4 linked regions of the Medicago truncatula genome follow. The protein of the gene in region 2 interacts with the protein of the main gene of each other region in a pairwise test. Links are inferred from orthologs where the notes say so. Each region holds a gene or a part of one and is shown on either strand. Other genes may lie near its edges.

Region 1 (7,151 bases), on a different chromosome or scaffold from region 2:
TACAATGCAGCTGGCCGAGCTGGTTGGCTTTAGTATTTGCCAACCAGGAAGTTTAAACTGCTGCTAAACTAAGACTGAGCACTGTACCAGCTCTTGACTGCATAAGTTTTCTTGGTGCAAGATAGATTGTGCCCTACATTTTATATTGCTCATTTTTAGTCACCCTTGTGCACCTTTAAGCCCCTTTTCCTTCTACATTTTTCTTTGCTTGACCTTCATATCTTAATCAGCTATTGTCCTGTCTCTGTGGTTGAAGTTGTCGTCCAGATATTGTTTTTTGTTTTATATTAAGTTTGAAGTCTGTTGCAATTGATTAAAGAAAGGTTAATTTCTTTTATGGGTATAAAAAATAGTATAATTTGGATTTTTGTATTATTGTTGTATTTGTTTTTTCAATATTAGTTTGGGGCGGCCATCAGTGATTGGTTCCATTGGAAGTGTAGTATGTAAAAAGTTGAATTTTATCAGCTATATCAGTTTCAACTCGAGATATCAGTGTTTTTTTTTTTTTTTTTTTTTTTTTTTTTTTTTTTTTAATTTTAAAAATTAATATGATGTTCACAGCTATATCTATAGGGATTTTCATCTACCGTAGTTGATTCTAACGGAAGGGTAACATATTTGCCAAACCAAGGTTCAAATCAATATTGGAAGAGATATCACTTTTAGTGATAGACCGTGTCTTGAATAAGGTTAACTTCGTTTAGAAAACATTTGGGAAACCAAACAAAAAAAAAAAAAAAAGAGAAATCTTTAGGGATTTTATGTTCCTAAATCAAATGATGCAAATGTCATAAATTTTGCATGATAGTTATTTTTATCTCATAGGGTCACGATGCATATTAATTTTCTTTTGGAAGTGTTGAGATGCATATTTTTGTTATTTGATTAATTAAAAGTAGGAAAGCGTCAAAAATCTTAATGTTGTGCATTTTTGGCGGTGCTTTGGAGAAATGATAACAATGTCTTCTCGACCCCCTCCAAACAAGACAAAATATTGACAAGTGAAAAAGGTGAAAAATTTATGTTATACTAGAGGTGAAGATATGTTGACTTCTTTTCAATTTGAATTGTAGCCAACAAGGCAATCAATTTTTTTTTTTTGACAAAATAAAAGATATTCATTCATTCAAATTGAAAGAGAACATCAATATAATGCAAATTCACTTAAAACAAAAAGGATGAATCTGTGAATAGACTAACAACATCCATGTTAATAACATAAAACGGCAAAGTACAAATGTCTACACATATTACTATATTTAAATCTCCGGAATAATCATATTTCCGGATCTACAACGTGGATGACGTCAAAGTCATTGATTGGATCTGCACTTGATCGAAGCTGATCTGACAATCTGAAGTGATCAAATACCTGAGAGAAACAAGAAAAACAAACAACGTCGCACAAAGACGACGAACAACCAACGTTGTACGAAGACGACGAAATCACAAAATAAAAAACGAAATAGATGTGAAATAACTTATTTCAATAAAAGGAAAATAGAAAAACGAGTTAAAAGGGAAATAACAAGGCAATCAAAATAAGATGTTAATTATTAATCAACTGATTAACTCTTGTAAACAAGAGGCTAAAATCATCAAACAAAGTGATTTAATTAAATAAGTTAATGTTCATTCTCTGTCAAAATAGGAGAAATTATATATAAATTAGATTGCAAGTTATAATGAAAAAGAAGTGAAATTTTTTAGACCTATGCTGAACCGAGTTTAGGTCTGCTCCATCCATTTAGTTCATGGATGCACGACATATGACAAAATAATATTTAAGAGTCGAGATATAAACTTAAAAACAATTATTTGTTTGTTTAATAAAATAATAATAATAGTAATAAATCAGAATCCTCTTCCTTGCATTACCGTCTGTTGTCATCAACCTCCACCTGCCGCTTCATCACAGCCTTGTCTTGTCGTAGCCGACACAAACCAACCAAGCATCGCTCTTTTCATCTTCCACACCCGTCGAAATTATAGTGAAACATTGATCGATTTGAGAAGAAAAAACAAACAACACAGAAATATACAAAATTTGCATTAATCCCAATTCTTCAATCCCATTCATTGCTTAATTTTACAACTATATCATTATTATTGTTCACCATTCTTAATTTCCCCTAAATTTGTTTCAGATTCTAGTATGAGAATTCAAATGGGTTTGGCTTGTTGAGTTGGAACAAATTGAGATGGAAAGGGATAATTGGAACCAGAATAATAATGGACGGTGAACGATGTTAAAAACTGGTTTTTGATGGCAGCTGCAAGACCACACTGGATTGTTTAAATTTGAACCATTAGATGTTTCTTTGTCACATGTCGTGCATCATAACTTAAATGGATTAAATGAAACATTATTTAAATGGAACATATCTGAACTCCAAACCACCCTCAACCTATATGTTTTCTTAGCGGACCAAGTCAACTACTAGTGACGGGTTCAAAACTTTGAAAAATGTGGGATAAGTGGATGGACTAACACATTTATTTAAGGGTGAGCAAAAAGAACCATGAATCAAACCGAACCGCGCGAACCTAATTGAACCGAACCAAAAATAACCGAACCGTTAATTTATTAATAGTTTTTGAACCATAACCGAACCATCTTGAACCGAACCGAACCAAACCACTTAAACTGTTTTTTTTTTTTAAGGAAACCACTTGAACTCTTTGATGGATCTTTCCAAAAAAATACAACTTATCTAAAATAGCTTATTTTATGCAAAACACCTTATTTTAAAAACATCTTATTTTATGAAAACAACTTATTAAAAAAAAAACAGCTTATTCAAAACTGCTAATTTTATGGAAAATAGCTTATTTGAAAAACAACTTATTTTAAAAAAACAACTTATTTTATGAAAAACACCTTATTTTAAAAACAACTTATTCAAAACAGCTTATTTTCAAAAAACAACTTATTTTATGAAAAACACCTTATTTTAAAAACAACTTATTCAAAACAGCTTATTTTCAAAAAACAACTTATTAGAAGCATGTTTTGAATAAAATAAGTTGTTTTGAATAAGCTGTTTTTTTTTTTAAATAAGTTGTTTTCATAAAATAAGCTGTTTGAATAAGCTGTTTTTTAAAATAAGGTGTTTTGCATAAAATAAGCAATTTTAAATAAGCTATTTTTTAAAATAAGTTGTTTTGCATAAAATAAGTTGTTTTGAATAAGTTGTTTTGCATAAAATAAGTTGTTTTGATTAATTTGTTTTTAAAAAGAGGTCGTAACAAGCTATTTTTAATAAAATAAGCTTTTTTGAATAAGCCGTTTTTCATAAAAGAAGTTGTTTTGAATAAGCTGTTTTCAAAAATAAGTTGTTTTTCATAAAATAAGCTGTTTTTTAAAATAATGTGTTTTGCATAAAATAAGCTGTTTTGAATAAGTTGTTTTTAAAATAAGTTGTTTTTCAGAAAATAAGTTGTTTATCAAATAAGCTGTTTTTTTTTAAATAAGGTATTTTCATAAAATAAGCTGTTTTGAATAAGCTATTTTTTAAAATAAGATGTTTTGCACAAAATAAGCGGTTTTGAATAAGCTATTTTTAAAAAGAGATCATAATAAATTGTTTTTCATAAAATAAGTTTTTTTGAATAAGCTGCTTTTTAAAATAAACTGTTTTGCATAAGATAAGTTGTTTTTGAAGAAATAAACTATTCTAACTTTTAATTTTAATTTGTTATTTTTTATAATAAAAGTGATTTTATTCATTGGATAAATAATATTTGTTTTGGTTCGGTTCGGTATGGTTAATAAGTAAGCAAATGGTTAACCAAACCATAACTTTGGTTCAGTTCGGTTAGCTCACAACCTGAAACAGTTTGGTTTGATTTTCCCGAACCATTTCAAAATTTCGATTCGATTTGATTCGGTTTTTTGGGTTAACCGAACCATACCCACCCCTACATTTTTCCATCCTCAATCTTTTCCACACAAAACAAAATCTCACTTTTATTTCTTTCTAGTATTTTATCTATATTATGTTGGTGACAGTGAACCCCAACAACTGGTCAAACGATAGAAATATTGACAGTTAGTTGTCCGTACAAATGTGGGGGGTTGGAACAACCAATCCTTAATATCCACAATGCTTCTCATCTTTTTTTAATTTCCAATATAGTTTTAGTAGTTGTAGATTGTAACAAGCATGTGTTCCAAGTTCCAACTTTATTTATTCACTTTTGGAATCAAAACACTTCCTCTCTTATCTCCTCCCTCTTACATTCATTTTCTGTATGGTTAGTATGTACACATAAAATAAATACTAGTACATAGTATTTAGTATTTATTTACGTAAGTTGTTTCCCTCTCACTCTCTCAACTCCCAAGCCCAATTATAGATTTCATGGATCATTTTTTGAATTTTTTATGGTCATATATATTGTAGGAACTTTTATTTATTTATTTTGACCCTTCTTGTAATGCAGGAGGAGTTAATTTAACTCAGTTCCATGCAATTTGGGAAATTAGAAGTCACAGAATCAAAGCTGTCACTCTTTGGCATGTTAAGTTACAGCTTTTTCTTGACTTTCTGCAGGTTAGTTTGTTGATCCTAATTATCGTGCATGTTTGATATCACGGTGGCTCGCAATGATTTCAGCAGATAATTAATCATACCAAACATGCATATCAATAACCACTTCTCTTTTTTTATGCTTTGGTTATTAGGCTTTCAAGGTTGTTCATTCTGCTAAAAAGTTCCCTTTTTGGTGGGGACTACAATAGTAGATTAAAATTCTAAAATAATAGTAAGACCTCACCATTAAAAAATGGTTTTGCCTCAAATTTTACTTGAATTTTCTTTTTTCAGGCTCATCCTTTCATGTCTTTGGAACGAACACCATTTATTGATTTGTGAGATAATGATAAAAGGAAAATGCTAACACATGTCTTAATGGGAAGGATTAGTTAAATCGTTTAAAGCTATTATATCTGGGACTACACTAGAACTTTTTTAGTCTACGATTATGTTTGCACTATTATTGTCCTTTGAAACTTTGAGTTGTTGACACTTTTAATACAAACAGTTGCATTAGGAACCATTATTAAACCTTTGTGTATGTAATTTGCAAATTTTAATGTTATTTAATTATACCTACCTACCATTGATAAGTATAAATCCCTTGTTAGTTTTTGAAGGTGAAAGTCTTGCAAACAGAATCATACATTGCGAAACATAGCAGTTCATGATGGATATTGAAGAAGCAGAAAGAGTAGTTGTTGCCAAACCAGTTGCTTCAAGGCCTACTTGTTCTTCTTACAAATCTTTCTCAGAACTTCTAGCAGGTGCAATCGATTCCACTCCTCCAATTGCATCTTCTCAAACTACAATATCCGCCATTAGGCCAAAGACAGTGAGGTTCAAGCCAGCAATGAATATCCCCCCTTCTCAGGTGAACATTCAGTGCAACATACCATAATGCAGTGTTTTAAAAACTGAACTGGAAGTTCCAACCGAGTGAACCTTGAACGGACCACTACTATGGTGTGGTTATTTTGGCAGTTCGATTTTGGTTTCGTCTCGATTCGAGCGGTTTAAGACGGTTGAATCATGACCTAGAGGTCATGCCGGATTGATGTCCGTTTTGGTTTTTAAAACATTGCCATACTGTTTTGAAATGCTTCTTGGTTTCTAATGTATGTTGTGTTTTTACCAATTACAGGTTAATATTTCTGGAGGTGCACTTAGCAGTTCTTCTGACATGGATCCCAAACCTGATACCAATCAATCTCTCATTTACAAACCAATGGCAAAATTTGTGTCACAAACAACCGTCTCTCTGTTGGCAAACATGGTCAGTATCTACACACACATATCATACACTTCTTTCTCACATGCATATGAGTTAGCTTAGTTAGTTTTATTTCTGTTATATTTTGTTACTTTATTATTCATCCTATATATAATCCTTCATTTGTAATCTTTTTTGTTCAACCAATTGATCAATGATATGAGTTTATTCAGAAAGTTTACTCTTCATTCATCAAGCAATATAGATGTTTTGAGATGGTTGACAGTCATATTAAGCAAGAATAACATTGTAAGTGACAGCAACTCGCTTATTATATGCTAAGTCTAAATAAAAAATCAAATATGTTATCAAATCCTATCTTAGATTTGTTGGACCACCTGCAGATGTTTAGGCATGTAAACTTTACGCTCCAGATGTCGTGTTTTGGATGTGAGCACATTGGTTAGTGCAATGATATAAACGATGATTATAAGTGAGGGGACAACCCCTCATTCCGTGAGCTAACTTCGGAGGTTGAGTTAACTCCAAAACCAAATTCTAACAGAAATTTCCAAAATAAATTATCCGCTACATTTGTGTCAGTGACTATTGGAATTTTTTATTGGGTTACTCAACCTTACAAAATCAACTTGTAAAGTGAGAGGTGCCTCTTTTTATAAAACTAATTTTAGATTTTATCTCTTTTCAAACGAGACTTGGATTTTCCCTAATACTTACCTCCCTTTCTCTTCTTCTGGAGAAGGGAATTTGCAGTACTAATCAGCAACAACCACAGAAATCAAGGGAGACCAATCCTCAGCATCTTAACCATGACAACTTTAGAGCTAACATGAGCTCGAAATTACATCAGAACATTACCCTTCCTACAGAAACATATCAGGCCACAGAATCTTGTATGATGGCACCACAGAACATTGAGGAGGACCAAAAAGCATTACCATCCACAAATAATGCTGATAGACCTTCGTATGATGGATATAACTGGAGAAAATATGGACAGAAGCAAGTAAAAGGAAGCGAGTATCCTCGAAGTTATTACAAGTGCACATATCCTAATTGTCCAGTTAAAAAGAAAGTTGAAAGATCATTAGATGGTGAGATTGCAGAAATTGTTTATAAAGGTGAACACAACCATGGAAAGCCACAACATCAAAAGCGAAACTCGGGAGCAACATCAGGAATGATTTCTGATGGAATGGTTCAAGATAAAGTATGGAGTAATAATAGTAATCAGAATGAAAGGAATGAAGGAAGAATAGAGAATCAAGTCAAAGCTTCACTGCCTGATGATTCTGCTCTAGAAACTTCTTGTGGTCTAAGTGGGGAATGTGAGGAAGGAAGCAAAGGATTTGAGGCAGAGGAAGATGACTCTAGAA
Region 2 (6,283 bases):
CATATACGAAACTCCAGCTCTAATAACAAGGGGTTAAGTTTTCTTTAAGCTTAACTGCTACTGAACTTCTTTGACTAAATATCTACATAAGTGCCAAAGATAACCCCAAACCACATCAAGGCTTTAGCAACATTTAACAAATAAGCATTCTTTAGATTGCAACCACTTGGGCATATAAACCATCTTTCTCAAAAACTAATGAGGTGTCAAAGTGCATGATCAAAACTACTACTGAGACATGCATACAAGGAGGCAGGTTGTTCAATAACACAAGAAAAAGAATAAACTTTGACATTTAACAAGGATGATCTATCTAGATGTCAGTGTTGTCAATCGCGGATTGCGGAAAACAGCATTTCGTTGAAATTCTGCTATGCTATCGCGCCGCCACAATAGCAGCTATTTGATAACTAAATAGTGGATCGCAAAACAATAGCAATTTGTTTAAATTCCGCTGTCCGCTATTTGACATTACTGCTAGATATGCAGTAACTAAACTATTCAATTGGCCAGTTCCATCTTCAATTGAACAAGCAAATGTAACCTCAATTTATGCTATAAGTAAAACATGAAACTAAAATAGTTCGCCCTACCCAACAATTACAGTAACCAACCCACTCTCACATATGAGATACAGCAATACTTTAAGACCACCAAAAGAATCCATGTCATGGCATACTTCTATAATTTAATAGATGATCAAGTTAAACTAAACTACTCATCAGTCACAACTTACAACAACAACAACAACACAATGAGTAATTGGTTTTCCAGAACTACAAGTAAATTATTCCCTCACCTGAAATTCAAACTCAAACCCTCAAAAGCTGCATTTTATTAGCAAAAGCAATAGCAATCCAATCAGGCTGAGCAGCAGACCACTGAAGCTGATTAATTTCACAACCAGCAGAATACGTAGTCATCGGATCAATCCCATTCGGACCAGCTACAGCCGGCAACTCCCAAATAAGAGCCTGTGCATCATCCCCACCGGAACAAATATGCTTTGAACTTCTTGGAGCCCAAGCAATAGCATTAACACCAGCGCGATGTCTCTCCAATTCCGCGACCGGTGTAGTTGGTGATCTAATATCCAAAATCACAACTTTATTACTATCCATCAAAATCGTGGCCATATACCTCAAATCCTTCTTGTTCCAAGCTAAACGAAGCAAAGGGGTATCAGGTTGCGGACTTTCATAGATAATTGTTGAATGCTCTTTATCCCTTAAATCAAAAATCCTAACAGACCCATCAGCAGAAACCGAAGCAAAAACCCTTGATTCCCCCCAAGCAATATCATAAACCTCTTTATCATGCGCAATTAACTGCGTTTCAACAACGCCTCTTTCAATGTCCCAGATAGTACAAGTAGTGTCAATACTTGAAGTTCCAATTCGTTTGGGCTCAATTTCATTCCAATCAAATGATGTTAAAGGAGCACAAAACTCACTGGTTTTGCTATTGTTGAAAAGAGAAAGAGCTTCAACGGAATTTTCACGAACTTCCCAGAGACGGAGATAGTCACCGGAGGTAGCAAGGAGGTCGGAGGAGGTTTTCTGGAGAGAAGAATGTGTGGCGGGATGGAACATGAGTTTGGTTGGTGGGTAAGGGTGATCGAAGGAGAGTGAAGGTTGAGGTTTGAGTGAGAGGGTATCGGGGTTGAAATTGAGAATATCGATGCGGTTTGTGTATTCTTCGATGAAGCTTCCGACGGCGATACGTTGTTGTGGGGAATTTGTGTTGGGAGAGATGGACATGGCGTAGAGTGGGTATGGGGAATCGTATGTTACGGAGTTGTTATCGGATCGGAGATGGGATTCTTGTGTTGAATTATCCATTTTTGGTGGATGGTGGAAGAAGGGGAAGGGGAAGAGAGACAGGGAAAAGTTAGGTGGGAAGTGAAAATGAGAAGATGGGGTGACTGAAGGAAGGGCACGAGCCTTAAAATCTCAACTGCCTTATTCTTCTTCACTTGACATTCTTCGTTCCTCCTACTAGCATAATATATGGTATGCGCCAAAATTGACGAGAAGGTACCTCCACGTCCCCAATTTGTGTTGTGTTAGCCACCAAGAGCATGTCCAATGCATCTACATTATGTTATGGTAGATCAACTCTTGTGTTGTGTTTAGTTTCCGAAATTATAACTACCACGATAGTTTGAATGTATCGAAATTTTAAAATAATTTTTAATTATTCATTTCGTTAGTTAAAATAGTCTCTCATAAAAGTAGAATAGGTTAAGTCAAGCTACATTCTAATAAACTCAAGACTGGCCTGTCTAAAATTTTAAGACTTAAGTCTAGTTTGCGGTTTATCATAGAGTTTTTAAAGTGAAGATTACAAACTCAATTATATCATTACTCACTTTATTGAAATATACAACCTTCTTAGCATCCAATTCAAAATCCACATTTGTTACTTGTAGAGCATGCATTCATCGGTAGAGCTGTCGAAAATGGGCCGGTCCATTGACCCATGTTTTTGGACCGGGTCGGGCCTAAAAAACTACCCCAAAAATGCACTCGGGCTTTTTTGGCCCAAGCACATTTGGGCCATACAAAAGTTGGGCTGGGTTGGGCCACCGGGATTTGGGCCGTCCCATATTTCATTTGATTTTTGTTAAAAAAACAATATATTTTTTAAAGGTTAAAATATGTTTTTGGTCCCTGCAAATATGGCAAGTTTGGGTTTGGGTTTTGGTCCCTAGTAATTTTTTTTTTAAATTCATCCGTGCAAAATTTTTTGTTTTAAAAAATAGTCCTTGTCCCCACTTTACTGATGATTTGGCACATTTTTACCTACGTGGCATTCGCTGACTGTGCATAAGTTATACATGTGGCAATTAAAAATTATATTAACATTTATAAAATAAATAGGTAAAACATAAAATAATTTTTTTATTTTTAATTAACAACATAAATACATAAAGGGGATAAAATTTTCTTCTTCATAACTACCATTCTTCTTCGTGAATCTTCTTCTTCATTGCAAATCATTTTTTGCATCACTTTCTCTTCCATCTATTAATTTGTTTTCCTTCTTTGCCTCGTATGAAATCGGAAATCTCACTCATTCCTTGTCAAAATTTCACCTCACATATTCAATCTATCTTTCATATTGTTTTCAGATGAGTGGTTTCTCCTCATTCTTAACCCAAATATGAACCCATTCATCCCCACTATTCACAGAAAGGAGAAAATGCTCTAATTTTCACAAAGAGGCTCCACTCATCTCCCACCGTCGTGAACAACAACAACAACCTTCATACTTAAATCTGGCCTTTAAACACTTATCTAACGTTCAAACTCAAATTCAAATTATCATACAAAAGAGATGACTCTGTTGGAACCTGAAGCATGAATTTGTTGCTTTCTCAAAATTTGGATATGATTGAAATGGGTTTGATTTGGTTGAGGGGTTTAAATGGGTTGGATTGAAAGGGGAGAGGGGAAATATTGCAGAGAAGAAAAAGAAATAGTGGTTTTGTTACGGAAAAATTGGGGACCGAGAGAGTGATTTTTTTTTGGAGAACAAGTTTTTTGTTGGATGATAAATTAAGTTCTTCCGTCTTTCCCTGGCCTCCCCAACACACTCTTGATACGAAAGAAACCTCCCGCCATAGAATAGAGAAGAAAGAGATCTAAAGTCTGGGTCCCCTCGATCACCCTTCCCTTGAACCTGAACTGGTCGAGAGAGATGAACCCGCACCACATTTGATAACCTTCGAACTGAAACCCCCAACTAGAGATGGAATTCCAGAACCTAAACAACTCAATGGAGAGCTCCGTGACCGGTTCAATTCAAGGGAAGGTCCACCAATAATGGAAAGGCCATTCCCCTCCCTATCTGTTTCTTCTTTTTGTTCATGTGGATCTTGATTTGAATTAAGTTTAAGTTTATTGTTGGGTTTTGTTCATATTCGATGATGAACTAAGTTCTTCCCTTTTTCCCATTGAAATCTTTCATTATTTTTGATTGGATTATGAATAATTAGATGAATATATGTGATAAGTTTTGGATGAACATTTGGGTTGAAGATGATGATATGCGTTACTGATAAATGTTTTGGATGAAGATCTTGATTAAAAAAAAATTGGGTTGATGATGAATGTTTAATGTTTTTCTTTTGATTTTGGTGGGTTTAATGGTGAATATGATGAAGGGGAAGAGAAGGAATTTTTAAAAACAATTATTTTTTATTTTATTTAATTATATTTTGTAAAAATAACATATTAAATTATTAAAATGATATATAAATAATTAAAATATGTTAAATGACAGATGTTTGACACGTGTGCATGATTACACAGTCAACGAATGTCATGTAGGCAAAAATGCGCCAAATCATCAGTAAAGTGGGACCAATGACTATTTTAAAAAACAAAAAATTTTACATGGATGAATTTCAAAGTTTTTTTTACCAGAGACCAAAAGCATATTTTAGCTTTTTTTAAAAATTATCAACTAAATTAAATTTTATTAATAAAAAATATTAAATAAATAAACTTAATAAATATGAATAAATTTAGCTTAAAGTATTAAAATTTTAAAGTTTATAAATTATCAATTTGATTTAATTGAAGGAAAAATCTATAGTTTAACTATTATTCAACGTTAATGTAAAAATTATTTACATTTTTATGTCCATCCAAATCATATTTTAGCAAAAAAATAGTGGTGTGTAACTAATACATAAAAAATACATATAAAAGAGTGATTAAATTTAAAAAATAAAACTAAAACGGGCCGGACTGACCCATGGCCCACACGGGCCGAGCTTGCCCATTTATGTAGTTGGCCCACGCGGGTCAGACCGGGCCGGGCCAGCCCATTTGACACCTCTATCCATCGGATAGCATGTGAGAGTCTCAAAGCTTCTCATCTGTTTCAATGTATGATTTGTTGATTGCATTATCTTATTTTTAGTCCTTAAATAAATGGGTCTTATGTTATCGTCAAAAAGGAAAGAAAATGTATGATTGTATTATCTTATTTTCAGTCATTAAATAAATGAATATTAATCCATATGTTCTAGCTCAACCGGTAAAAATGCTGAAATTGTTAGACCGGAGTTCGAACCCCGGTACCTCCACTTGTGTGTGAGTTTATAATAGTTTTATCATTCCGTCTAGGCTAAAATATGCTTTTGGTCCCTGCAAATATGGCGAGTTTGGGTTTTGGTCGATAGTAAAAGAAATTTTTGAAATTCATCCCTGCAAAAAATTTTGTTTTTTAAAATAGTCCTTTGACCCAATTTCTTGTTGATTTGTCTTATTTCAGCCTATGTGGCAGATGCTGACTGTGTCAACTCGCATATGTCGCATTAAAGTATTTTATAAATATTTTATAAATCATTTACTAAAATAAAATTAAAATTCATAAAAAAAAAACATTGGTTTTAGTCAATATGTTTCATCTTCTTCTTCGCGTGTTTGTTCTTCCGGTACCACCACCATCAAGCCCTTCCTCACAAAATGAAAGAACACACAGATCTACATTTTCTTCACATGAATCTTCAACCAAAAGAATCTTATCATCTTCAAACCAACACTCCATTCCAAACTCATAAACTAATCTAATTTCAACCCAAATCCAACAACTCGTTAATTCTTTATCCAACCTTAGAATACAAAAAACTCAAAGACCCATATTATTCTTCCGTCGTCATCTTCCTTCCAACCCTCAAAGTTACAAGATCCTTCTCTAACCTGTCTCTGAAACCAAGTTTTTACTCTTTTGCCACTGCTCTATTCTTAAACCCATAAGCTTTTTCTAGTATCTTATTCTTTCCGGATCTTGTTATTCTTGAATTTGGGTTGAAGATTTTTCCAAGATCTTCTCAAACCGGATCTAGAGAAAGCAGTGATGTCACTGTGTATTGTGGCAAACATGAATGGTTTCGTTTCAGATCCAATTTTATAGTGTTGAGAGGGAAAATTTGAGATATGGAAATTAGGTAATTTGAAATTAGCTGTTTAAAATTGAAGCAATTATAACCTTGTGATGCTTCAGTTTAATTGTTGTTGTGCCTGTTGGGATTGTTGTTGTGCTTGTTTGGTTTTATCTGTTTTTGGGAAGCTTCTGTTTGACTGACTGGTATGAGGAAGAAGAAGATGAAAGTAACATGAACTCTAATTTCAATTCTCCTCCCTTTATATTTTAATAAATTTAAAATATAGAAGATTAATACAATAAATAAAATAAATAAAAACATTTTCTGATTTATTAATTTATTTAATTCCTTTTAAATTCCACGTATTTGCCATGTGGCTAACTT
Region 3 (7,829 bases), on a different chromosome or scaffold from region 2:
CTGGGGTTGGCTTCACCACTTCATGTGTTTCTTTCTTAGGAGCCGGCTCAGGACTGTATCCAGACCAATAGGGAAGAGGAAAAGGGAAGAATGGAGAATAATATGCCGGATATACTACTGGGTAAGCCGACGCTTGTGCATTGCTGTCGGGCTTTAATGGGGCAGAGGCAGACTCTCCATCGTTTGAGTTTGTAGAATCCATCGATTCACATTCTTCATCGAGCGGAGGAGGAGCAGGCAAAGGGTTATTGCCTTCTGTTTCAGTTTGTAGTTGATTAGCTGACAAGAAGTCTTGCGGTACCATTGAAGTATCAGGTGCCTGCAAAATCAAAACAAAAATACAAGAAATCCAGAAAAATTAGAAGGTTCAGAAGGAAAAGGAAAAGTGAGGTTACATAATGCTTATATAAATTTCAAAAGAGAACCACATCAGAAAATGCAATGTTTTTCCTCCAAACTAAATACCAATATTTTAAAAATCAGTACCGACATCAAATTGGTGAGAAATACAGGTCATGGTTCAATGAACTAAATGACAAATAAAAAAAGTTTTTTAAGAAAAAGTATTAAAAAAAAAACGGTTGAACCAGCCACAGTTGAACTGCGGTTCAACCAGCCAGCTATATAATTGGATTCAAACCAACCAGGGAACTAGTTGGTTCCCTCTCAGCACAACCGGTTGGTTGGTTCAGTCCGGCTATTAAAACATTGCTAAATACCCTAGAGCCATGGTTCTATAAATATCTAACCCGAACATTATTAATACACAGAGAGGTCATCAACATCCAAAATGTCCAGGAAATGGACAATTTTCCCAAATGGAAAACAGTGTCGTGTACATGAGACTCACTGACTTAATTTTCAAAGTATCCATAAAAGGTCAAACAATATCGTTAAAGAAAGAAACACATTTGGATAATCTTATCAAATGGTAATGAACAGGTTATGTGGCATCAATTTCATTATATGCAACATAATGTAAAGGAAACACATTTTATGCAAATAGAATTTGGAAATAAGGGGACAAACATCATCTGCAACAATATCAAACAGGCTGGACCGTCTCTTTCGCCTAGACACATTGCTTTGCCTGATGAAATATTTTTGAGCGTGACTGGCCACTTGAGTAGGTGTCCTTGATATAACATAGTTCCTGGCAATTCCACGCCAATCACCTTTGCCCAGCTTGTTCAATCCAAGTAAAAACATTCTATGTTCCTCCTCAGTCCATGGAGTGCCTGAAAAAAATATATTAAAAATCAAAAGCTGACAAAAACAACACAAGAATTTTCCGTGATCCCCGTTGAAGCTGACTGTAATATGAACTTCAAATAGATAAAATTCAAATTCAGCTAAACAGTACTGGTCTGAAACCTAGTTAAATGAGTCAAAGGCTTTAGGCCCCCAAAAAATTATACCTAACATTGACTATTTGAATGTTTAAAAAATAAAGCTTTAAATGCTGGCAAAAATAGCCACAAATCTCATTTGAAGCAAAAAGGTCTATCTAAAGTTTGATCTAGGCCCTACTCACTCTTGGGATGGATCGGAAGCCAAACCTTGCACATAGTATTAGATTTAGGGGAGGAAATAAGCTAGCCATGTTGTCGTTTAAGAAATGTGACCCTATTCAGGGTTGTGTGTAATCTGATAAAACTTAAGAAATCATCATCAAAAAGACCATTTTTTTCTCTGTCTTGACCCTTCGGTTCCTACTTCCTAGGGGAAAGGGCCTCTGGTAATCCAGAGTTCGACCTAGACGAAAATAAAGCTTGGCCAAAGATTGTTTTAGTCATGATTCGAACTCAGGTTCTCCTGAATTATTCGTCTTTAAGTGAAAGCTCATTAGAGCCGAACTATATAGCTAGAAAGAGCATATTCTGCTATTGCTTGCAGATCATTAGGGGTGAAACAAGCTAGACAAGGTTTGTTAAACACCTGCCACAGCCTGGTATTTAATCTATCATCATAGACTTTTTTCAACGCGTTTATTTTTTTTTTTAATGTAAAATATAAAGCCTAGTTTAGATAGCTGAAACAGTGTAATATATGCATATTAATGGACCACATCCCCCATAATTAGAGACTAGAATACACAACACATCCAAGTTAAACAGACACCAACCCAATAGACACTAAATAAGTAAATATGAGTAATTTTGAAGCACATGAGAAACATTGTTTTTGAACCACATGGCCTAAGACTTGTATCTATCCATTTCTTAGACCAAAATTCAGATACAAAATTCATGAAACATTCCAATAATTCTCTCAAAAGAGACAATCACTAATAAAGTTAACACGTATCAGTACCTTTCTTGTCTAGTTACTCCTACAATTACACCAACCAAAAATCAAAAATATAAATATTTTTTTGTCATAATCGTAAATACAAACCAATCCAAAACAAGATCACATAATTAATCCAATATAGTTGAATTCATCTAGCTCAAAAAAAAAAAACAGAACAAAATTAAATTCCAAAAATTCACATGCAAGCAAAAGAGTTAAAAAGAAAAAGGTTTTAAGAAACAAACCCTTTTTTCTTTCACGGGAAGTAGAAGAAGAACCAGGAACAAAATCCTCAGAACCATAGCCATCAGCACCATGATCAGGGTTTTCACCAGGTGAACCAGGAGTATTTGACCCGGTATTCAAAAGTCCAGACCCGGACCCGCTATAGTGGCTAAGATTACCCATACTAGCACTTTTCCGGATCCCATCGGTTAATCTTACTCCAAACAGCTTCACACCACGATTTGGACAGGTTCTTGAGTTGTGCCCATTGTGGCTGCAATGAGAACAACGACGGGTCATGATTTCTGAACCGGATCGAAGGAGAGAGGTGAATTATCGGGTTTTGAAGATCCGAATCACAGGATCCGAGACATGAAATGAAATTGAAGGTTTTAAGGTTTTTGTTTTTTTTGGTTTATTTGAGTTTATTATTATGTTTGGTTTGGTCTCCCTCGGGTTTTGCTGCAGAGAGAAAGAGAAAGAGAGAAAGACCAACAACACAACACTATCCATTTATCTATCTTGTCGTGGATAAAGAGAGGTAAAGATAAGATGCTACGCGGTGTTTTTTTTATGATACGTGATCGTTTCTTTTTGACCGTAGATTTGTTTCTGATTGTTGACGTGGCGGAGGATTAGAAGTTGAGTATAGTGATTGGGTTGCTTTTTTTTCTTCATGCAAGTGATTGGGTTGCTTTCGATACAGTACTTATCATCATCAACTTGATGAAACAATTACGTACTACTTTTCTTCGAAAGTGAGAAAGATAATATTCAGAATTGCAATGAAAAAATGTAGATATATATATATATATATATATGGATATTTTTGGATTAAACATTTGTCTTGGGAATTTATTAATTGTAAAAATTATTTAACAACTTTCTCTTTATTCTTCTATTTCTTCTTTCTCGTTCATTAGAAATCTGTTTTATCCATTAAAAAAAAAAAACACACACTAAATATCATTTCCTAAACACCAAGAGTAGCCTAGTGAAAAACTAAAGCCTTGGTTGATAAGGCATCCCAAATGATGGTCTAAACTTAATTCTGAAATTAGGAACATATTTAGCAGGGATAATTCACGTGGGTATATACTTCCAAACCTGAAGGTTGAGTATATTCTTGTGCAAAATAGCATCTCTATCTTTTTTGGTACAAAAGAGGATTGTGAATGCTTATCCACCTTATTATTAGTTATCCCACTCCAAAGGTCGTTTTTACCACCATTTCTCCAATTACAGTATTTATTTTCAAAGCCCTACTAAGAAGATTTAAAAGCAAAGCCATCCATTGTTAAAAAAGAATTGAACACAATAGTACTTTGAGTTTAATTAGATACATATCTATCATTTAATTATTTAATGTCATGTCATATTTTCTGTTTTAATTATTTTAAAATAAAGTTAAATTTTGCCTGACCAAAAAAAAAAAAAAAAGGTTAAATTTTGAATGAATTTTGTCACGGAGTATCAATATCCAACCAAAGTTCAATGTGTTTATGAATAAAAATAAAAATAAAAGAGCAAAGCTATCCATGAAATCAGTGGTACCGAATATATTTAAGATGTGTCCAATGAAGTACTTATTGTTGACTCTGAGTTTGCGAATGTTATTTACTATAGTGATGCATTTTTTCAAATTTATATAAAAATACAACTCCCTCGATTCCTTTTTAAGTGTCATTTTAAAAAATTTCCACGAAAAATAGCAAAGTGTATTTTTGCACATTTTCTTCCTATTATACCCTCAATTTAATCCACCAATATATTTATATATTTTGGCACACACTTTATCTTTCTAATAAATTTAATATGTTATATTTTTTCATAACAAACATTTTTTTTTTAGATCGTAACAAACATTTGTTACTTACTATCTTTTTCTCCAACAATTTTTTTTACACACTCCTTCTCATAACAAACAATTGTCAATTTTCGAAATATTGTGCACAACTCTTTAATTAATTTAAGTCAATATAAAAATTATTCCAACTTCACATTAATAAAAAGCTAAGAAAAAAATTATCTGTCCTCAAACTTATTTAATCAAAATTAAGGCTTCAACTATGGCTTTAACCAATGCTAGATCCACACTGGATGAAGATAACTTAGTAGAGCATACAGAAAAGAGCAACAATGGTACGTGTACAATATTTATCTCTTTACATTTGTTTAAATCTGAAGATAACAAGAAACAAATTTTGTTTTAAAAAAAAAACTTAGTTTAAAAAAAAAAACTTTAGTTTTTCAAATATATAACATTAATTAATTTTATTAAAAAAGATAAGAGTAACCAAACAAAGAAAAAAATATGAGTAATTGACAAATCGTACCATTAAAATACCAAAATGCAGTTAAATAAGAACAAAAAATTAACCTTAAAATGACACTTAAAAAGAAACGGATGGAGTAAATGTTAAATATATCTAAATACATACAATCGAATAATGACTATGCGATTTTTTTTTTTGTTTTAAATTTATTTATTTTCTATGGTAGCTGGTCAAACAACTGACCTTCTGGAAAGTTCATGTGATACACCTCTTCTAACATTTTGTGCGGTTAAGCTACCAAATTTTGGGATGATTTATTTTTTAAAATGACTACATTTATTTAATGAAATATGACGATAAATTTAAAAGACACAATAACATAAATATAAGGAGGGGTTTCATCAACACAAACAAATTCACAAGAGACATAATAACCAATTTAGCTAAGAAATGAGCCGCTTGATTCGCAACACGGTAAATATTTAAAAAATTTAAAGTAATGATACTTGATGTTAGTCTTTTGCAATCTTCAACTATTGCACCCAGTGGCGGAGGCACATAGTGCTGAGGGGATGCACTTGCCAACCCTCAAAATTAAATTTTTTCACATATATCCCTATGTTTTTAGCACTTTGAACCTCCTCATATTTTTTCTTTGCACCAGCTGACCCAAACCACCATCACTCACTCATTTACACATTTTAACTTCTCTCTAAACTATCTTCTCTTAACTTAGAAAACCCTTCTTCCTCCACTTCCACCACACCGGCGGCAGAACCACCACCAAACTCCACCGCGCCACCACCCAACCCATTCTATCTTCACTCTCGCGACCTTTCAACTACCATCTACAATCACGTTTTAGTTCTCTCTCCATCTCAAAAATCAGTTGCAATAAATCACCACCGTCTCCACCTTATTTTGCCGTCCTCCGCCGTCGTGCAACCGCAAAGGGACATTCAAAAGCTTTCAAAGACATTGAATCTACCACCAAGGTAATCAATTAAAAATCTTTGGTTTAGGGTTTTGAAATTTGGATTTTTTTTTTAGATGACTTCAATTGTGATAAATTGGTTGATTGAATATGCAATTGAGGGTCCTAATGATATGTCTGTGTTGTGAAATTGATTGGAGAATTGTTTTAAAGTGGCAATTTAACACTCATGGTTTTTTTGTTGTAAATGGTTCGCTTCAGATTTTTTAGTATCTGTTCAATTTGTTCAAAATGCAAAAAAACATATGAATCCTACTAATTTATCATGTTATTCTATTTGTTCAACTTGTGTGTTTCATTTCCATGTTGCTTTGTTTGAATCATGGTGAATGAGCTTCTGTTTTGATTTTTAAACCAAGAAACTAATATGAATCCTACTAATTTGTTTGAATCATGTTATTCTACTTTGTTTGAATCCTACTAATTTATCATGTTTCATTATAATAGTGAGTGAGCTTCTGTGTGACATTGTTTTACTCTAATGGGGATGGATGGTAAGAAAGGAGTGGTAGCACTAGATGAAAATGTGAAAGAATGTTGTTTTTTATTTCATACTCATTGAATCTTAAAGTTTGTTATTGTGTTTGGTGAACTTGATATTGATGTATAGTTCTATAACTGATGTTCTTGAAATGTTGAGAGATGATGTATCAATTAAAGATGGAAGAGGTGAAGCAAAAGGTCTTTTAATTCTCATGAATACTTTTGATTTTGCACTCACATTGCATTTAATGAAAAAGGTCTTAGGTTTTTCAAATGAATTGTCACAAGCATTGCAAAGGAAAGATCAAGACATCGTCAATGCTATGAACCTAATTAGCATCACAAAGGAGCGATTACAAGCTCTAAGAGATGATGGATGGGAACCTTTATTGGAGGAGGTAATTTTATTTGGCAATAAGCATGACATTAACATTCCAAGCATGGATGATATATTCTTCCGTGGAAAGTCAATACGTGGAGGTAACGCTGAATCTATCACAATAGGGAATCATTACCGCATTGAATTATTTTATACGGTTGTGGACATGCAACTTCAAGAACTTAATGATCGTTTTAATGAGACAAATAGTCGGTTGCTCATTTGTATGGAGAGTATGTGCCCAAACAACTCGTTCTCTAAATTTGACAAAGCAAAGTTGATTGAATTTGCAAAGTTTTATCCAATTGAATTTTCTCCAACTTCATTGGTGTTGCTTGATAGTCAACTTGACACTTACATCTTTGATATGCGTAGGAGTGTTGAATTTGCATCTTTGAAAGGAATAAGTGATCTTTCAAAAAAAAAATGGTTGCACTCAAAAAACATATTGATTATCCTTTAGTCTATGGACTTTTGAAGTTAGCAATGATTTTGCCCGTTGCCACATCAACCGTTGAACGAGCCTTTTCTGCTATGAAGATTGTGAAGTCTAGATTGCGTAATCGAATGGGAGATGATTGGATGAATGATTGTCTCGTGACTTATATTGAGAGAGATGTGGCGGACAAAATTGATGATGAGTTGATTATTCAACGATTTCAGAAGATGGCACCGCGTAAGGGACATTTGTAAAGAATGGATGAAGTTTTTTGAGTACATTGTAAATTGAATACAATGTAATTTTTTAGATATATATTATTATATTTATTATAAATTAAAGTTTAAAATTTTGAACCTCCTGACCCTGGGTCCCGGCAACGCCACTGATTGCACCTATATTATAAATAAATAAAGTAAAGAAAAGAGAATAAGAGCTTATACTCGGCAATGTCAATGACTCGTTATTACCTCTAATTTTAATTGAAAGTTTAATTTTACACCCTTATTTATTATTATGCTTATTTCTTTCGTAAATGAATAATAATAAATAAAGTAAAGTAAACCAAGTGAAGTCGAACCTCCTTATAAATAAACACTTATATTTCATAATATTAAATTGTTTATCCAAAGTAAATTGTTTATCCATAGATCGACGTATCTGTGTTACACAAACAAGAATTAGCCATATACATAGGGACGTACAAACTTTAGTTTTTTTTTACTACATGCAGCATTTAAG
Region 4 (6,555 bases), on a different chromosome or scaffold from region 2:
ATGATGTATGTGATCTTTATTATAGGCCACATACATCATTTAATGAATAAATGTAAAATGTTGATTTTTGCTTATGATAGTGACCAGAGGGTGTAAGCTGTTGTTGGGCTGATGTGTGGTCTCGAACAATGTGTATACTTCAAATAATTAAATGATTTGTATTTTCATATGTGCGTCGAAGGGTGCGTTTGATCAACTAAAAGATAAGAGTTTGGATAGGAAAACTTCAGTTGTAATGTGTTTGATTGTAAAATTGTTTGAGAGACCGGAGAAATTAGGGGCATAGAGACATGACAAAATTGAAAATATTGTCCCTTACAGAATACATCATGACTTTTTGTCCCAAATAGAACTCGTATAAAATACAAAAATATTTTTTTGTCCACCGAACATTGCATAAGACAAAGAATCAATACCACAAAATTTCATCATGTGTTATGATATTTTGTTTTATATTGTTCTATCTCATACTTACCTTTTAAGAGATCAAACACACCTGAAATCTTATGTCCAAAAACTTGTGTCTATTAAGTATTTTCCCAAAATAAGATTAAAAGCCAAAATAAAATTTACATTAGAGACTAATTTAGTACTTATTCATCCAATGAATAATTAATTTATTTGATCCAAAATCTCCTAGTCCTAGCAGGGTAGTTTCTTTTTTTTTTTTACACAAGCTATAGTAGGCTAATACAATAATAATTCAAACGACTTATGTACATACAACAGTAGCATAACATAGAAAAGTCAATCGAAAAGCCATATTTTTCTATTTATAAATAAACAAAAATTTATCCAAACTCTTCATATTCTATTATTTGCTTATTTGAACCTTCCGGGACATGAGAATGAAGCTTCCACTCAAGTTCATCAAGTAATCTCTTAATAGCCTTTTCCACATCAGTTCCTGCAATCTTTCACCAAACCAACAGATATTTAGCATAAACAAATCTTAATTTTTTTTCAAATCAACTTACACTAGAAATCTTAATTAATTCTATCTTGTATAGTTTTATAAAATTACACAAACATACCTCAGATTCTATCTCTAAGACTAAAAACAACTCCTGCTGAGAAAAATTTGACTTGATGCTTCTTGTATCAACACCATGGTTTTTCAACAATTTCAGTGTCTCAACTATAGAATCAATTCCAGATGTAGGACATGGCACTCTCAAATATTGAATTTGTTTTCTTCTGTCAATTACTTCAACATTTTCTTCAAGAACAAAGTTTTTCCTTTCCAATTCCTCTTTGCATCCTTGTAGCCTTTGAATTTCCTTAGCTGCTGTTTGAACTACAGAATTATTATCTGTCTGCCATAAAAATAAAATAAAAATTTCAACATTAAAAATAGCTTGAAATGAAAACTAAAAAATGGCTTATTTTAAAAGGCTCATCTAATCATAGTAATATATGTTAATCATGGTTTTAAAGTGCAGTCTGCAACCATAATTATGGTCATAATATAAAGGATTTTGATGTCTCTACAACGATATAACAGCCACAATATAAAATTTTGTAGGATACCGAAAATGCAATGTAAAACTATGATGTGAATGTTTTTATATATACTTTGGTTCCATGAGGCAACACTGCATGTAAATTGAAGCAACATTGTCTTTGTCTTTGTCTCCTCATTCTTTCACTAATCATGTGCTTGAAACCACGTTCTCTTTCACATTCTGCTACTTTATTTCTCTCTAAAGGCAAACTTTTTCTCAAAAATGCAATCATCCTCTTGTTCATGTTATTTGAATTGGACCCTTTTAGAAAACTTTGTTCCCCAAAACTAATATTGGGTTGGTCTCTATATTGAACAAAAGCACTTAGATTTGGTGTAGGACAAGGTTGTGTTAGAACAAAACTACTTTGGTTTGTAGGTAAAAGAGGTTCATCCCAAAATACATCACCTAGAAGATTTTCAGGAAAAAACTGTTCCATCGTGTGATATGATTATTAATTTAGTTGAAGAGTAAGAGACAAGTATGTTCTTGGTGTTTGGTTTATATGTTGAGGAAATGGTGTGCCATACTTTGAAAACGTGGTCAATTACACTGTTGTGGCCATTCGTGGGTCAAAATTTGTGCATGCAATTAAAGTCTTACTTTAAACTAAAGTTGCTTGTTTTATGCTTGCCCCCAATCAAGAATTCACGCATGGTAGGCCCACCATCCATATTTGAGAAAACTATAGTCATAGTCAATTCTCCCTCCAAATTGAGTGTTTGTACAATAAAAACTTTTGTTTGGATTAACTTTGTTTTGGTAAACCACAAAAGAAATTCCCAATTATGTCTACAAGTTTAGATATACTTTGGGTGAAAGACTAATCCATCAAGAGTTGTTTAGAGAAGGAATCTTATCCATTGGTTTTCAAAACTTCTCAACAATAATATCTCTACTAGGATTTTGATCTTTTCATATCAATTGTAAATATAAATGTTCTATGAAAAATACAAAAAAAAATATATATACAATATGACTACGTAAATAATAGCAAGAGTAAACCTTCATTTCCTCTATAAAGTATCATTCTTTAGAGAGTTGGCTCAATATGCATCTTTAGATGTCTAAAACAAACTTTACACTAAAGTCTCTTAGACTTCAAAATTAAAATTAAGGTAGGATTTATTAAAATAAAATAAATGAAACTTTGTTGAGTTTAAAATTTAAACTTTGGTCAAGTTTTGGATTGGGCTAAGGCCCATTCCACTCAGACTCGGGTCTGGTCAAGGACTCAAGAGCAGACGATACTATACGTTGTACACGCCCTAAATTCCTTTGGAAAATAGCCCGGACCAACAAATCATGACCTTCCAATCTGGATCGGATGCAAGAGGACCGCCCAGATGATCACACTTGTTCCCCAATGACAATTATCTAGGTGAAGGCTTGACAACCAAAATCCTACTTATCCAATATATACACATGCTTAGCATTGGGTCAGGTAACACACTTCTTACCCTAATATTAATCACACTCTCTCTTGAACTCCTCATTGATTTCGGCGTCAGAGCACATGTAGGTACACCACCATCTTCGATGGAGACAAAGGTAAGGTGACCTATTGTGGACAACAAAAGCTTAATCCCTTTACACAACGGATCCTAATCTGACATACCATCTTCTTAAGTCCAACCGAAGAAACCTACAAGTGAGACACCAAAACATAGGGATCTAAAGGAACCCACTAACAGGTGTGTACACCGATGGAACTCCAGGAAACCCACGCAATGCTAGAACAGTGCAAATAGTTAACCTTCTCCGAGATCTAATAGTAGTGATTCAATGTCAATATCAGATGATGGAAACACTAGGTGAACGTTTGGCTCATGTTGAGGTTGGTCAACGCCAACCACACATTGAAGCCTCAAACCCTAGCCAAGACGTCATCATTCCAAAACAAGTATTTCGGGGAACAATGACTCCTCAATGTCAAAATGAAGCACAACCTCGACCGTCCTAGGTTGTAACTAGGAATGACGAAGGAGAGGGTCCGAAAAGGGGACGAAAATAAGTATGCAACCAACATTTTCCAGCTAAAGGTCGTCGTGGCAAAATGAGCTGCAAAGTTTTGCTCACGAGAGGCTTCTGTCGAGAGAAATCCAGTGAGGTAAGCTCGCATGATGTTAAGCCTGTAGAAAAAAAAACGCTTTTACAAGTAAGATCAACGATTACCCAATGCCATGGCGTGGTTCTGAAACCTCAAGCCTCACTCCATAGGATCTCGAGGAGAACTGTGCAAGCATAAGGCTCACTTCATATCTTTTAGGAAACAACCAAATTTTGTCGACAGTTTGGCGGCTATATACCATAACCTAGGAGAACGGGTAAAGGAATACCTTGAAAGGTTCAACAAACAGGCCATCCAAGTCCATAGTGCTGACAAAGAAATGAAGATGTACCGGCTACGAAAAAGGATGACGTCGAATACAAAATTCATAGAGAACATCAAACTAGACAACCCGAAAAACTTTAACCATTTGGTGGAAAAAGAGGAAAAGTATAGACAATACAAAAAAAATTGTTGAAGGTCGACAAAACAAGAACGACCTGAAACGAGAATATGAACGAGAACCCTATAATAAAAATCTAGGAAGAGGAGGCGAAAGGTCCTATAGAGCCCCCTAGAGATTACCTCCAAAAGTATCGCGAGTACACACCTCTCAACGCCTCACACGAACAACCCAGGAAGTTACAAGATCAAGTTGGAAGTGACAAAAGCAAATATTAATGGTTCCACAAAGTCCAAGGCCACGCCACTGAAGATTGCTTGCAGCTGAAAGATGCCATCGAAGATTTAATCCATAAGGGAAGCTGCGAAAGCACACAAATCATCGGGATAATGAACCAAAGCAACGTGAGAAATCCATACCTCCAAAGAATAAATCCACTAACAACATGAGATCTTCCAAGAAGAGGATAGTAGAGAAGCCAAGGAACTTTCCTATGACACTTAGTGTGTCTGACAAATATTTTATGAACAAGATGACTTACATGTGGAGTAAGAAGAAAGCCCTGGCGATGAGAAGGTAAGAAACCCCTAGAATCTCCCCATGATTTTCACTATGTTTGGAGGAATTTAGCATAAAGAAACCAAGATAATAAAAGGGGCACTCCCCCTGGCCGAGAGACATCCTAGGCCCTCCCAAGAAGATGAGATCTTGGCCCATCAGAACTCTCCAGCAGTGCTACTCATAGGGGAAGAATCACCCCACGAACAAAGAGGCGAGGTTGAAGTTATGGAAAAACTATGAGACCAGACTGGTCAGACACATGCCACTCACTATGAGACTCGAGGATAGTGAGTAGGTTGAATCTATATCATGTTGATGCACCGATTACACCTGATCCAGGGATTTATCCCCAATTGTCGGAGGACATCGAGCCAAGTCTAGTATGTCACGACACCCTCCCTCATGGTGCAAAGGAACCAACGGTATGAAACTCCATTATAGGAAGTTTACAGATAAGCAAAGTGGAAACAAAAAAATTTGTCAAGAGGAAGCTAAACAAAACTATGGCACCAGGGGAGTGCAACTTTGTGGCGAATGCCACAGTAAAATAAAGGCCACCTATTTAATTCTACGACAAGAATATGCTAGCAGGGCGGCCAAACTACCATATACTACTGATGGTACGAGTCGTAATGGCTAACGACAAAGTTTTAGTAGGTGTACTCAAATTATCGAAGTAATAAAATATAAAGATCATATCAGCATGGATTTCTTAAGTTCTACTTAGAAAAAATGTTATCATTAAGGATGTATTAAAATTTGGGGGGTTGAACATGGCAAAGAGTTGGTTTAAAAATCATAAATTAAATAGCAAAATGTCTATGAGTTTGTAAAGATTTTTAAGAAAAATGATCTGGTCTTTCAAATCCTCTATTCACTGTTTGATAAGCTACACCTAGACCCTATAAATGTTGTTCTAATTTCATGATGATTAACAAAATAGTTATGATTAATCTCTTGAATCATAACCCACTTTTAAGATTACAACCCCCCTAATCTCTTACGGTGAGTCTTTAATCTTCGAAGGTTCCATGGAAAGTTAATCTAATATCACAACCTAACAATTATCTATCTTTAGATTGGCTCGTTTAATTTTACAATATAATTAGATCTAAGTCAATAGGCAGTGCTAATAGTCAATTGATCTATAAGTTCATTTCATATGTAATCAAAATATAAAAAACATTAAATACAAATTATGCTAAATAAAAGTAGAATTGTATTTATATTGAATAGAGTTTCACAACGTACATGTCTCAAACAACTAGAATATAATCATCTCATACCTAATCATAAGGAGTTTAGCTAGTCATGGCTAATGCACAAATAACTAATGTAAAAGAAAACAACATTACATGAAATTAAGACTGAATTTGAGTTGGATGGGAAGCCACCACAAAATCTGCAATCCTAAGCTTCAAATGTGTCTTCAATCTACCAAATATCCAAACCCTTTCCCTAAAATGAAGTTGGCCTTTTATTGATCCAAATTTGTAACGTGTAAAATGTGTCTTGATTTTCTAAATTGTGTCACAATTCCACACTAGCATTCAAATCTAAGAATTGGCGCTCTCGAGATCGTGTCACGATTTGTTCCGATCATGCCACAATTTTGAAGAATTGAAATGCTTCATAACAAGTTCAAATTGTGTCTGATTACTTCATTTCGTGACATGATTTACAATTTCCTTGTTTCTTAATTTTCTATCTTTTCTAGCTTCAAAACAACCTAAAATCACTTGAACTCTACCAAATATGCATAAAAAAGGCTAACTATATGACACATTTGCATCACAACCCCAAACTTGTATCGTTACTTGCCCTCAAGGAACAAACATATTAATGAAAATTAACAGTAAAATATCATTTACCCCACCAATAGTAGTATCAAAATTTAATCTCCTAAACCGACATTTTGACGAGCTGGTTTGCTTGTCCAAACAACCATTTCTACAACTTCTTGCAGGTGATTAAAAAGGGTACTAACATTCAACTTACAATATTGTCATATTTCCATACGCTTCAAAAGTTCTTAC

What was found.
Region 1: the proteins of protein TRANSPARENT TESTA GLABRA 1 (region 2) and WRKY transcription factor 44 interact in a two-hybrid assay, tested with the Arabidopsis thaliana proteins (2 studies listed by BioGRID). The link is inferred for Medicago truncatula from reciprocal best matches to the Arabidopsis thaliana genes TTG1 and TTG2.
Region 3: the proteins of protein TRANSPARENT TESTA GLABRA 1 (region 2) and transcription factor KUA1 interact in binary tests that used the Arabidopsis thaliana proteins (3 or more experiments, as listed by UniProt). The link is inferred for Medicago truncatula from reciprocal best matches to the Arabidopsis thaliana genes TTG1 and AT5G47390.
Region 4: the proteins of protein TRANSPARENT TESTA GLABRA 1 (region 2) and transcription factor bHLH92 interact in a two-hybrid assay, tested with the Arabidopsis thaliana proteins (2 studies listed by BioGRID). The link is inferred for Medicago truncatula from reciprocal best matches to the Arabidopsis thaliana genes TTG1 and BHLH92.

What each region holds. Positions count from the first base shown.
Region 1 is NC_053048.1:47,312,254-47,319,404, reverse strand, and holds the start of WRKY transcription factor 44, read left to right. Parts: upstream 1-4,125; 5' UTR 4,126-4,260; exon of another isoform or gene 4,261-4,315; intron 4,316-4,449; 5' UTR 4,450-4,559; intron 4,560-5,152; exon of another isoform or gene 5,153-5,161; 5' UTR 5,162-5,208; coding exon 5,209-5,415; intron 5,416-5,685; coding exon 5,686-5,817; intron 5,818-6,517; coding exon 6,518-7,151. UniProt on the Arabidopsis thaliana protein: Transcription factor. Interacts specifically with the W box (5'-(T)TGAC[CT]-3'), a frequently occurring elicitor-responsive cis-acting element. Regulates trichome development, production of mucilage and tannin in seed coats, and maybe root hair development.
Region 2 is NC_053044.1:45,902,066-45,908,348, forward strand, and holds protein TRANSPARENT TESTA GLABRA 1, read right to left. Parts: upstream 2,084-6,283; 5' UTR 1,842-2,083; coding exon 813-1,841; 3' UTR 521-812; downstream 1-520.
Region 3 is NC_053045.1:49,443,032-49,450,860, reverse strand, and holds the start of transcription factor KUA1, read right to left. Parts: upstream 3,016-7,829; 5' UTR 2,818-3,015; coding exon 2,538-2,817; intron 1,239-2,537; coding exon 1,030-1,238; intron 320-1,029; coding exon 1-319. Other genes in the region: uncharacterized protein, read left to right, coding at 6,430-6,456, 6,528-7,112. UniProt on the Arabidopsis thaliana protein: Transcriptional repressor. Direct regulator of the transcription of peroxidase (Prxs) and reactive oxygen species (ROS)-related genes via the recognition of 5'-ATCACA-3' motif.
Region 4 is NC_053042.1:15,355,462-15,362,016, reverse strand, and holds transcription factor bHLH92, read right to left. Parts: upstream 1,989-6,555; 5' UTR 1,945-1,988; coding exon 1,576-1,944; intron 1,317-1,575; coding exon 1,035-1,316; intron 915-1,034; coding exon 792-914; 3' UTR 505-791; downstream 1-504.